Linked DNA regions of Macaca fascicularis. The protein of the gene in region 2 interacts with the protein of the main gene of each other region in a pairwise test. Links are inferred from orthologs where the notes say so. Each region holds a gene or a part of one and is shown on either strand. Other genes may lie near its edges.

Evidence for each region. The genes of interacting proteins can lie anywhere in the genome.
Region 1: the proteins of EDA (region 2) and PLN interact in binary tests that used the Homo sapiens proteins (3 or more experiments, as listed by UniProt). The link is inferred for Macaca fascicularis from reciprocal best matches to the Homo sapiens genes EDA and PLN.

The regions. Positions count from the first base shown.
Region 1 is NC_088378.1:22,495,031-22,500,720, reverse strand, and holds the end of PLN (phospholamban), read right to left. Parts: intron 3,782-5,690; 5' UTR 3,685-3,781; coding exon 3,526-3,684; 3' UTR 2,165-3,525; downstream 1-2,164. UniProt on the Homo sapiens protein: Reversibly inhibits the activity of ATP2A2/SERCA2 in cardiac sarcoplasmic reticulum by decreasing the apparent affinity of the ATPase for Ca(2+).
Region 2 is NC_088395.1:76,784,457-76,790,806, forward strand, and holds part of EDA (ectodysplasin-A), read left to right. Parts: intron 1-252; coding exon 253-287; intron 288-1,217; coding exon 1,218-1,269; intron 1,270-4,166; coding exon 4,167-4,297; intron 4,298-4,879; coding exon of another isoform or gene 4,880-4,999; exon of another isoform or gene 5,000-5,114; intron 5,115-6,180; coding exon 6,181-6,350. UniProt on the Homo sapiens protein: Cytokine which is involved in epithelial-mesenchymal signaling during morphogenesis of ectodermal organs. Functions as a ligand activating the DEATH-domain containing receptors EDAR and EDA2R. May also play a role in cell adhesion.

The sequences.
Region 1 (5,690 bases), on a different chromosome or scaffold from region 2:
GATAGCTTGAGGATAGGAGTTTGGGACCAGCCTGGGCTAGTGAGACCCCATCTCTACAAAAAATAAAAAGAGCCATATGTGGTGATGTGCCCCTATAGTGCCAGCTACTTGGGAACCAGGGTTGGAGAATCCCTTGCACCCCAAGAGTTCAAGGCTGCAGTGAGCAATGATCATGTGACTGCATTCCAGCGTGCATGACAGAGTAACATCCTGTCTCTTGATTAAAAAAAAAATGATAAAATGAGTTAAAGTAAAATTACTTTTTATCTAACACGAAATAATAATGAAAAAGTTTTATCTATAACTTGGGAGTGTTTAATGTATTCTGTTATGTCCTGTGAAAAGAAAGTTTTCTTATTTTCATTCTTTCTTATTTTTGTACTCTGTTCTTTTATTTTTTAACTGTTTGAGATAATTTATATATTCAAAGATGTGGACACCATGACACTCCCTATATTAGGATATGACACATACATTAGGTAGTTAAAAAGGACTTTTATATACATGTTTTAATGAATAAAATTAGTAATGTGTTTGACTTTTTTATCTGTCAAGTTTTCTATGTAATATTGGCATAAAATTCTGGACATTTTAAAGTGTGTTGTTACTTAGCAGAAGAACAGATCTTTTCTGAAAATTTATTATAGCCCTACTTTGCAAGAAGACTCAAAAATAATCAAAAGATAAATAATGTCTGTGTAGTAGCAATTCATTATCTTATATAGGTCTGCCCCCTTGTGTGTCTGTACTTGTGCATCTTGATTTTGTTTTATTTGGGGAAAGTCACCAAACAAAACCCCTGTAAAATCAAAACTAAAATTAGAATTTTTTTATCGGTAGTATCAGTTCTAAGTGTATTGTAGAGCAGCTTCACTGAGTTTTCAAGAACCTTCATTTTAATATAGTGATTCTGATTTGCATTAAACAAATATATATTCTTATCCAATTAAAATATAAAAGGTAACATTAAGCATTTTAAAATTGTTTTTAGTACCCTGTAAATTAAGATAAGAACTTATTCTATGGTAGAACATATTTGAGCGTTTAGTATATTAAATTTTAAAAATAAATTGTTTTCTTGTATCTTTTTCTTTACACTTTGTGATAAAGAATAATTATTTAAAGAGTTTATTCTACTTCATAATTTGAGTTATAGTATTCTGTAATCCTCACAGAATAAGATTTTAATTTTTATCAAAGAATGAAGAACAAAAAAATTAGTTATTTCTGTTTACTGAGAAAAAGATTGTAATGAACAATGTAATCATAGGAGTATGACTAATCCGTTCAAATTTTCCACTTGTTTTTAAGACCAGTGCAGCTTATTATAGAACTTGAATACTTTTTGTGTTGGTAATTTACTAAAACCAGTGAGTTGAGTGTATCACCTGTTATTTATAAGCTTTTTACTTGTTATTAGGGATTTCCAGCTTGTAGATGAGGCGTCACTTAAGAAATCTCTGCCCTTCTGTTCTTCAGATATCCCTGAACCAAACACTTTCCACTCCCCATCTCCAGTACCTCTCATGGGTTCAGAAAATTTAATGGTGTCTCCTTCACTATTGAGTTAGCAACACTTGTGTAAGAAACCAAGGTCAATATTGATGTTATATATTCTTTTAGTAATCATGTTTTAGAAGATATGGTTAATTACACATCCTCTACTCTTTTAATAATAGTTATATTAGTAACATGTCTTCAACTGAAATTAAAATTGTTGGATTATGCAGTATAGGTGTGAACTATTTTAAACTTAATTTTAACCTAAGTTTGGTGAACATATTTTCCAGCACTAAATTTTACTTCAGTTGTTTTATGAGTTATTGGAAGATGTTCTGAAATGATCAGAGGAGAAATTGAAAATTTATTCATCAAGAAAATAATTATAGGTAACATTGCTGCATCTATAATTAAGCTCAGTAGAGTGGCCTACGAAATAGATGCTTGCCATTTGGTTGATAGATGAAGAAAAATAGCTATCTCCTGTTACAGTTGACCCTTGAACAACAAGGGCTTGAATAGCGAGGGTCCACTTATACATGAATATTCTTTTTCCCCACTCTCCACACCCCTAAGACAAGATTGCAAGACCAACCTCTGCTCTTCCTCCCCGTCTTTCTCCTTCTCTTCCTCCTCTCAATGTGAAGACAATGAGAATGACGACTTTTATGTTAACCCACTTCCATTTACTGAATAGTAAATATATTTTCTCTTTTTTACAATGTTCTAAATAACATTTTCTTTTCTCTAGCTTACTTTATTGTAGGAATACAGTGTATAATACATATAACATGCAAAATATGTGTTAATTTACTGTTTATGTTATCAGTAAGGTTTATGGTCAACAGTAGGCTATTAGGTAGTTAAGATTTTGCAGACCCATGGATTGTCAGCTCCCCTAACCCCCATATTCAAGGGTCAGCTGTAGATGTAATAGATGGGCCAACAAGTTCATTTCAAAATATAATCTAAGAATTAGTTAATATTTGGAGAGAGAATTCATATTTTTATTTTTTTTAAATACTTGAGATAATATAATTTTTTGTCACTGGAAATCTTGTATTATTTTCCTTGCCTGCATTGGATGTTAGGTTGGAATGGAAGACAACCTGTAAAATCAGTCTGAAGTCTTAAGGTTTCATGATTCAAAAGATACAGCGTGGTAAACTAGGTAACTCTAGGTCAGATAATTCACTACAGTGTCTTAAATGAAGATTAGATTCTATTCTGTTAGTATATTAGTGATATGACTAATCTCACTGTTACATATTAACCCCCAGTTCTCATCTGTTGATCATATGTCTTAGAACAGATTTATGGTTTACCTACAGGTACTAGAATTCTGTGATTCTTTGAAAAAATTACTTAAGAGTAATTTTATTATGTAAGAGTATGGCCTTACTTTTCCATACTTGATTCTCATCAACTTTAAAAAATGTTAATGTGGCATAGCAAAAATGCAATTTCTGTTTTAGAATGTTACTACAAAGAGTTACTACAGAGTTCTTTATAATAAGATAACAGATGTGAGGAGTCAGTGGACTGTTTTGAATAATGACACTTCATTTGTGTTATTACTTTGATACTTGGTGAAGACTTGAAAAATAGTATTAAAGAAGCTTTTACAGTGTAATATAAGTTATATTCACCTCAAAAGAGTAAAGATAATGCTTTATATATGAAGTGAACTTGTTGGCAGTGCAGTTTCAAAACTAAACTCTTATTTCATCTTCAGAAAAGATTTGGGATACAAATTTGTGAGCCATGTTGAGGAAATCAACAGTTACGTTTTATACACTTATTTTAAAGTTAATTTTTGAAAATAAAGCCCTTTTCATGTTTACAAGATCCAGCAGATGAATACATTTGCTAACAATAAGTTTTAGTCTTAATCTTGACCTTTTCACAAAGAAACTCTTCTACTCAGGAAGTGGTCTGTTTTACAGTATTGTTTTCCCGTCTGCATGGGATGACAGATTTTAAGCTGATGTGGCAAGTTGCAGATCTAGAGGTTGTAGCAGAACTTCAGAGAAGCATCACGATGATACAGATCAGCAAGAGACATATTAAGATGAGACAGAAATTGATAAATAGATTCTGTAGATTTTGACGTGCTTGTTGAGGCATTTCAATGGTTGAGGCTCTTCTTATAGCTGAGCGAGTGAGGTATTGGACTTTCTCCATGATACCAGCAGGAGAGGAAGTCTGAAGTTTTAAGTGATTGAGAGAAAGATAAAAAGCTGGTAGCCAAATATGAGATAACTGTCTTCTTTTAGGTAGCCTGGAATGTAAAAATAATAAATGGATTAGAATAATATATGTAACCTATTATCAGGACAAAAAATACAATGTTGTATTAATTCATCTTCCTCAGCACTATTGTTATTTATAACATCAAGTGTTTCTATAGTCTCTCTCTCTGTCTCTCTCTCTGTCTCTCTGTGTGTGTGTGTGTGTGTGTGTGTGTGTGTGTGTGTGTGTGCGCATGTGTTTCCATGTGTCTCTCTTTCTCCTTTTTTGATGGGGCACAACATGACAGTCTCATTTGTGTTAGGAGTAGTAACTTCAGTCTTTGCCTTTTTCTCCCAAATTTACTACAAGTATTGCAGTAATCCTCAGTGTCATCCATAAGTTCCTGGAAACCAAGACTTTATGCAAAACAACATATAACAAAACCATTTTTACCCTAGGCTGATTGATGTAAATAAGAGGTAAGTTCCTATAGCACATTTCTGGTCACAAGAACATCACCAAACTTCTCAATAAAGACCCAAACACTTCTAATATTAAACGTTGAGAGAAATATGAATTATATGTACATTTAAGAAAGATTAATAAAAACCAGATAGGCCGGGTGCAGTGGCTCACGCCTGTAATCCCAGCACTTTGGGAGGCCAAGGCGGGCAGATCCCCTGAGGTCAGGAGTTTGAGACCAGCCTGGCCAACATGGTGAAACCCTGTCTCTACTAAAAATATAAAAATTAGCTAGGCTGGTGGCATGTGCCTGTAATCCTAGCTACTTGGGAGGATCGCTGGAGCCCAGGAGGCAGGGGTTGCAGTGAGCCCAGATCATGCCACTGTACTCCAGCCTGGGTGACACAGCAAAACTCTGTCTCAAAAAAAAAGCCAACAAAGATAATTACCCAGTATTTCGTGAATCAGTGAGTAACAGTGATTGTGGTGGTCAATTAAAAACATGGAATCAATGTTTGAGAAATACAGTGGGATCTCTGAGTGCTTTTGTGCCATAGCATTTATTGTCATGCATTTGTATGATCACCCTAGACTTTACCAGTTTTTATTTGATAATAATTTGTATTCATCCGTTCATTCATTTTTCAACCCTCTTATTCTGGTTTGGGGTGCTGGTGGCTGGAGCCAATCCCAGCAGTCAAGGAGGGAGGAACCCACCTTGGATAGGAGACCACTCCATCACAGGATACACTCATGTACACACTCACACTCAACCCAGGACAACTTAAACACGCCAGTGAACCTAATGTGCACAGTTTTGGGATATGGGAGGAAACGAGAGTCCCACAGATATGGAGAGAACATTCAAGCTGCACACATACTTAAATGTTATAACAAAATGACATAGAAGGAAATGATGTTATTTGAGGACCTGCTGTATTTGGTTTAAGGTACAGCTCGTTTTGGGTTATTCTTTTGGGTAAAAGTTCTCACATACAGTTTCTTTAAATCTGTTACACTGTAGATGTAATTGGTTTGATCAGTTACTGTATTAATAGCTCCAGAGCCAATCTCATAAAAAGGAAATGCATACAACAAATTGTTCCCTGGATCTTGATTTTAATCCAAAATAAAATAGTGTTAAATGGGAAGTGTTTTACCAAAAATGTGGATTGAAATTGTCATTCCTTTTTATGATTTTATAGCTTTATAGAATGTTATCTTAACTAACATTTTAATAAGATTTGATTTTAAGTACTGAAGACTATCAAGCTTGGAATGTGTAGTAATTATTATTATCTCACCATCTACCACAGACATTTTCTATTTACAGACCTCTACTTAATAGCAGTAGTTTCCATCATGCCTTCTTTCAGAGATACCACAAGCTATTGCTGCCTGTGGGGTCTATACTTTGATGATTAATAAAACAAATAAGAACTTACATGCTATTACAGAAAAATTATATATAGACTGAAAATTAACTGTATTAACTG
Region 2 (6,350 bases):
GCCTTGGGCTAATATTGGCCAGAGGCAATACTCAGAAGTTTTCCTGCTGGGTGCTGGGCCCACTGAAGATGAAGGTCAGGGCAGGAAACAGAAGAGGTGCACTCTGACTCTTCCTCCAGCTCTAAGCCCTGGAGAATAAAGCTCAGACAGGGCTGGCTGCAGGGAGCACGGCTCACCACCACTAGCTGCTCAGGTGAGGGGAAAAGGAAGTCAAAAGATTATGCCCTCTGATAGGCCTGTCCTATTTTGCAGGTGCTGCTGATAAAGCTGGAACTCGAGAAAACCAGGTTGGCTGGGGATTGCTCTCTTCTTGGGTAGGAAGGAAAGCCACAGGCTAGAGCCACCTTTAAATTAGCTTCTTATTAGATTTCCTGAGGCTTTATTTCATGAGAACACCCTGGAGATTCTGAGGGTTTTCACTCACAGCCCCCTCCCATCTCTATGAATAGAAAAGCTTTGCCCCAGGGCATGTTTTTAGCTAAGGAAAGGGTGTCTTGCCAGGATCATTTTTCCTCATTCCACAGGAGACCCCAGGGTCACCATAGCCAGGCCCAGTAGTCAGCTGAAATAAGCTGCCAGTCAGACCTATTCACCTGAGCCTCCAACTCCCCAGCCACCCCAGACACCTTGTCGGCTCTCAGACCACCTGGGATCCGGACCTGAAGAGTTGAAGAGTATGTCCTTGAAAAACAGCCAGCCAGCTCCAGGCCCAGCCTAGCCTGGGCGTCTGCCTTAATGGCCTGAAGAGCTCCTCCCAGTCTTTGAGCTTCCTAATCTGTCTCTATTGGCAGGTTCTGCTGCCTTGCCTTGTCTCATCTCAGCCTCCCTCGCCACAGCTGTGTGGCCACAGTGATAAATCTACACAGCTGCACAGTGCTTGATGGCTTGCAGGGCAATTTTATATCCATCACCTCATTTGATCTTTAGACATCCCTGTGAGAGAGGCCAGACATTCTTATAATCCCCATTTTACAGTTAGGGAAATGAGGCTCAGAGGCATTACATTTGGTTGAGGTCACATAGCTAGCAAGCGGTAGAGCTACAAAATCATATTACCCTCTAGTAGAAACGTAGTCAGTAACATCCCAAGAGAGGGGAGAGGGATCAGAATTGGATTACAATAGAAGACTAGAAACCAGGATGGAAACATGGGACCGGTGACTGAGCAAGCAGCCATTACTCATAGTGACTACTCTCTATCCTTCTCATCCTGCCAGCCAGCTGTGGTGCATCTACAGGGCCAAGGGTCAGCAATTCAAGTCAAGAATGGTAAGAATCAAAATAGGCTCTCTCCCAAAGAGGAGCTTCTCCCCTTCCTCCTCCCCAACCTCCAAATAATCACCCAGCCTAGTTCCTCCCAGGGCCCTGAGGTACCCTTGGCATACGAAGTCATTCTTTGCTCCATCATGCCCTCTACTGGCTGTCCTGAGCAATTGCTAGCATCAAGACCAGTTGCTACACCCAAATTGCATTTAGAATCACTGATTACGGAGCTGAAAGGGACTTGAGACATCATCTAGCCCAGGCATTCTCAGGCGATGGAGTTTATATCAGAGCCACCACGGAGATATGTGTAGTTAGATTAATATTTTCACAATACAAATTATAGAAAGTAAAACAATGTAAAATTAAATTCTTCTTGTCTGATGGATCTACGCAGATGGGCAGACGGGCTGCTTCTCTCAGGGCAAGTGGGGCATGTTGGAATCTCCAGGGAGTTGAAGATGCTAGTGTCTATCAAAAGGGAGAATGTGTTTAATGGGTTTAAGAAGCACTGATTTATCGTAATCCCCGCATTTAACAGATGAGGAAACAGAGTCCCAGAGAGATTGGATAATACATTAATAAATCATGCTGCCTCATTTTGTATGATACTTTAGAGTTTTCAGCATGCTTTCTTTGTCTTTAATTTCATCCAGTCCTCACAACCACCCTATGAGGTAGGTATGAGCTCCTTTTTACAAAGACAGAAAGTGAAGTTCAGAGAGGCTAATTAACTTTCCCAATATTTCTTAGTCAAGTTCGTTTAGGAGCCAGGATTCAAAACTACATCTTTCTGACTCTTTCCTCTCCCCTATGCTACTTCAGTGATATGTATGTACACTCCACTGAATGATAAGGTTCATTTTCTTCCCCCAAAGAGACATGAACATTCATGAAAGAACAGCACTTTGGAATAATGTCCAGTCCCCAGAGTGCACAAAGCCTAAAATGCGTGAACCCCCAGGAGCCTTGGGAAGCAGCAAGCTAACCAAAATGCTAGATGCTTACAGAGCTTGGAGTGGAAGGGAGGGGTTTTGAGTACAGAAACGGTAAAGGAAGGTTAAAAAAAAAAAAAACAGCTACCTGGGGACAGTTTCTAAGAACTCAGTCAGTCCTGAACTGGCTGTAATGAGTTTCCTTAATGACTGTATTTAGTTACTTCCCTGACTGCCACCTCCATGTCTGACTTAGTAGCCTCAGAAGTGTAAATAGGAAGAGAATGGCACCAAAACCCAATTGGTCCTGCTGGGGACCGCAAGGCCCTGAGTGGGCCATGATCCCCACCTGTCCAGGGAGGCCAGAGACAGGCCAAAATAGATTTGTTTGGGTATCTAGACAGATAGTGTTTCTTCTGTGCCAGCAGCCACTGATTTTGCTCCCACTGCCACACAGTAGGATTGTTTCCAGCCCCTCTGGGCCAATCCTCAGAAGTGGTCTGTGCTGACCCTTAGTACTACCAGAAGAAGTGATGGGGGTGGGGTGCAGTGGCTCACGCCTGTAATCCCAGCACTTTGGGAGGCCGAGGGGAGCAGATCACTTGAGGCCAAAATTTGAGACCAGCCTGGCCAACGTGGTGAAACTCCGTCTCCACAAAAAATACGAAAATTAGCTGGGCATAGTGGCACGCACCTGTAATTCCAGCTGCTCGGGAGGCTGAGACAGGAGGATCACTTGAACCCGGGAGGTGGAGGTCGCAGTGAGCCAAGATCACACCACTGCACTCCAGCCTTGGTGACAGAGTGCGTGACAGTCCCTCTCAAAAAAAAAAAAAAGAAGAAGAAGAAGAAGTGATGGGGTCAGGGATTGGAGGACGTCATGCAGAGTGGTCCACTGATGGGACAGAGCCAGGGCAGTTCCTCCTAACTCCCAGCCCGTCTACTTACCACCTCAAGGAAAGATGGTCACCTTTTCCAGAAAACCTGTTTCCTCATCCCTCAGAGAGACAGGCCTACTGAAACTGACCAAAGATGGACTTACAAAATATAATTTCTTGGGTGCAGGATGGATGACTTAGAAGGGAAAAGGCTCCCTGGGCTTGGATGTCCTCCTCTCATGGTGGGAAGGAACATTCCTCTTCTGCAGGATGGAAAGAGAAGATTTTCCTCCACCCTCACACGCTGGCTTCCACTGTCCAAAGGAATGCGACTGCCCCTCCACCCCTGCCTGGGGTGGAGCTGAGACAGATGTTTTGCCAAGGGTGCCTCGGCTCCTATCCTCCCGGCTGGCTCTGTTGCAGCCTGCCAGTCTATCTTTCACTCTCATAAGGATCCCTCTCACCTATGGGGCCCTGGTACTGGTGGTCAGTAGCCCCAGCTGCCGTGGAGTCTGAATCATCTCTAATCCCTAAGGTTCTCCAGATAGACAGTGGGCTGAGTGGTTTCCTCCCAGGGAGGCTTTCCAGAAAGCTGTGGGTGTGGAAGAACCATAAAAAAAGAATCTCTTAAGGAGAAAGAGAAAACCCATGAACCTATGAGACAAGAGGAATTCAGGAGCTCTGACTGGGAAAGTAAAATTGAATAATAAGACCTAGCCTGCCACTCAGTGTCTGAATTTTGCCTGTGCAGGCCCCATAACAACAAAGAAAATAGGGCAGCATGCCCACTCTCATCCTCCTCCGGCAAATTCCAGCTAGAAGGTAATGGTTAAAGACCCTTCCAGATGCAAGGGTCAAGAAAGGAAGTATAAAGACAGACAGGAGCCCAGGAGCCCTGAAGCAGGCCTGGCAGCTGCTTTACAAACAGAACAGCTTCTCTGCTTTCAAATGCTCTTCTTAAAGTTTGGCCTTCTACGCTACCCTGGTTGCACTGGGATAGGGTTGGGGGTCGTGAACTCCTTGGTATTTATTTTCTGTTGCCTCGATTATTCTGACATGTACTGAGTGACTGCCCTTCTCTCATACTGAGATCTTTCAGGTGGAGTGCTCAATGACTGGTCTCGCATCACTATGAACCCCAAGGTGTTTAAGCTACATCCCCGCAGCGGGGAGCTGGAGGTACTGGTGGACGGCACCTACTTCATCTATAGTCAGGTAGAAGTGAGTACGGTCTTAGGCCTAACTCTTCTTATATCCAGAATGCAGATCCGGTGCAGACCACATAGGGGCACTGTGGAGCCAGCCAAGACCATCCAATGGCTAACTTCCTGCTTTGGGTGAGGGGGTGGGGGGACCGCACTGGGAGGGAGTTGAAAGAAGGAAAGAGAGAGGAGGCCAGCTTGTTTTGTTTTGTTTTGTTTTGTTTTGTTTTGTTTTGTTTTGTTTTGTTTTGTTTTTCCCTAGCCAAATATTATTGAAAAACTGTGAAAAAGGCCCCTCCTACATTCTGCCATCTGATTCCCTCCTGCAGGGCCTCAGGCCCCTGTTTACCCTCCGAGCTGTTTGGCTCCACTGCCAAACTTGAACTTGGTCTCAGTATATTCTTTGAAAGTCAGTTCCAGGGTTACTGAGAACCCCTCCCCTCAACACTGCTGGCTCGGGCGTTATAATGAATAGTGCTCCTGCAGACTTTCTTTCTACCTCAAAAAGATTTCTGACTGTCTTTCCTTCCTCTTTCTCCCATTTGTTTCCCTATCTTTCTATTCCTCTATTCTTGCCTCCTTCCTGCTGTTATTCTCCCAGCCCTTTCTCCCTCTGCTTTTGTCCTCTTCCTGCCCTGGGCCCGCTCCCCAAGTCTGCCAGTGTCCATCTACTTCCATTCCCCGATTGTTTGCCTCCACGGGGATGGCTCCTTGGAGATAGAGGAAGATGAGCCATGAGGTTGGGACTTTTGTGGGGTGGGCAGCAAGCAGGCAGGTGGGCAGAAGGACTATGGAACCAACACATGGGTGTCACAGGAGAGCGGCCAGCAAAGGTGGGCTAACAAGCATTTGCTAGGCACACTGAGCACCCCGGTGTAGCTTGGGTCCTGATCCATATGTGGCACCCAAATATGCTGTTCCCAGCTGAAGAGCTGATGGAGGGAGTGACCTTTCATAAAAAGATTTACAGTGATATCTGAGAGTCCCAACACCCGTGGGGCACATGGGCATAACCCTGATGTCCTATGAGCCAAGCTCCACGTGGTGGGGGCAGTGGGGGCGGTGGTGGGGGAGGGCAGATCACAACTTGGTGTGAGGTATGATGGATAAGGGTAGTGAAGGATGGAAAAATTAATTTTCTGAGCCTAGGAGAGAATTGAGAGTGGCCCATGCAGGCTGGGAAAATCCCCATGACATTAGGCCACTGAGCATAAGTTAGTGCCTCCTTCTGGCCACAAAGTCAGGGGCCTGGGCTTTTCCAAATTCTTTGTCTTGTTTGCGGTAGCTAGCTCTCCATCTCTCTGGACCTGTTTCCTCAATCATCAAATGGGAGGCTCAAGGGGTACTGTGAATCAGTGAGGGGAGTCCAGGCACAGGGGAGGGGTGGTGCAAGCTGAATAAGCTTCTGTTAAGGAGCTGAAGAAATCGCAAGTTGTTATATGACCTCTCTGGGGAATCAGTGACTTCTAAGTTTCTCCACAAATAGTCCGCGGGGCTCAAGAGTGGAAGTCGGTTTGTGTCTACGGCACTGTGTGCACACCTGCTATGTGCAGGGCACTCTGCTTCGTGTCAGAGCTGGGGCAGGGGCGGGTGGGGGTACAGGGGCACGGTGAAGCTGCAAATAGGGCATGGTTCTTAGCCTTACAGAGTTTACGACAGGTGTGCTGTTGTAAGAAAGGTTTGCTCAACCAGCTGAGCCCCATGGACTAGGGGAAGGGCAATGCATCCGCCTGTCACCCTGCCTTTCCTGTTGGCCAGCTAGCACGCCTTCACATGGCACTGCCCCATCCATGGGGTATGCTGGCAGCTCATCTGAGAAGATTCTGTCAATTCACCACAGGGAGGGCCCCCCACCCTCTCTTTCCTCTCTTCCCCAATCCCTTCTTGTTGCCTCTCACTCAGGTATACTACATCAACTTCACTGACTTTGCCAGCTATGAGGTGGTGGTGGATGAGAAGCCCTTCCTGCAGTGCACACGCAGCATCGAGACGGGCAAGACCAACTACAACACTTGCTATACCGCAGGCGTCTGCCTCCTCAAAGCCCGGCAGAAGATCGCCGTCAAGATGGT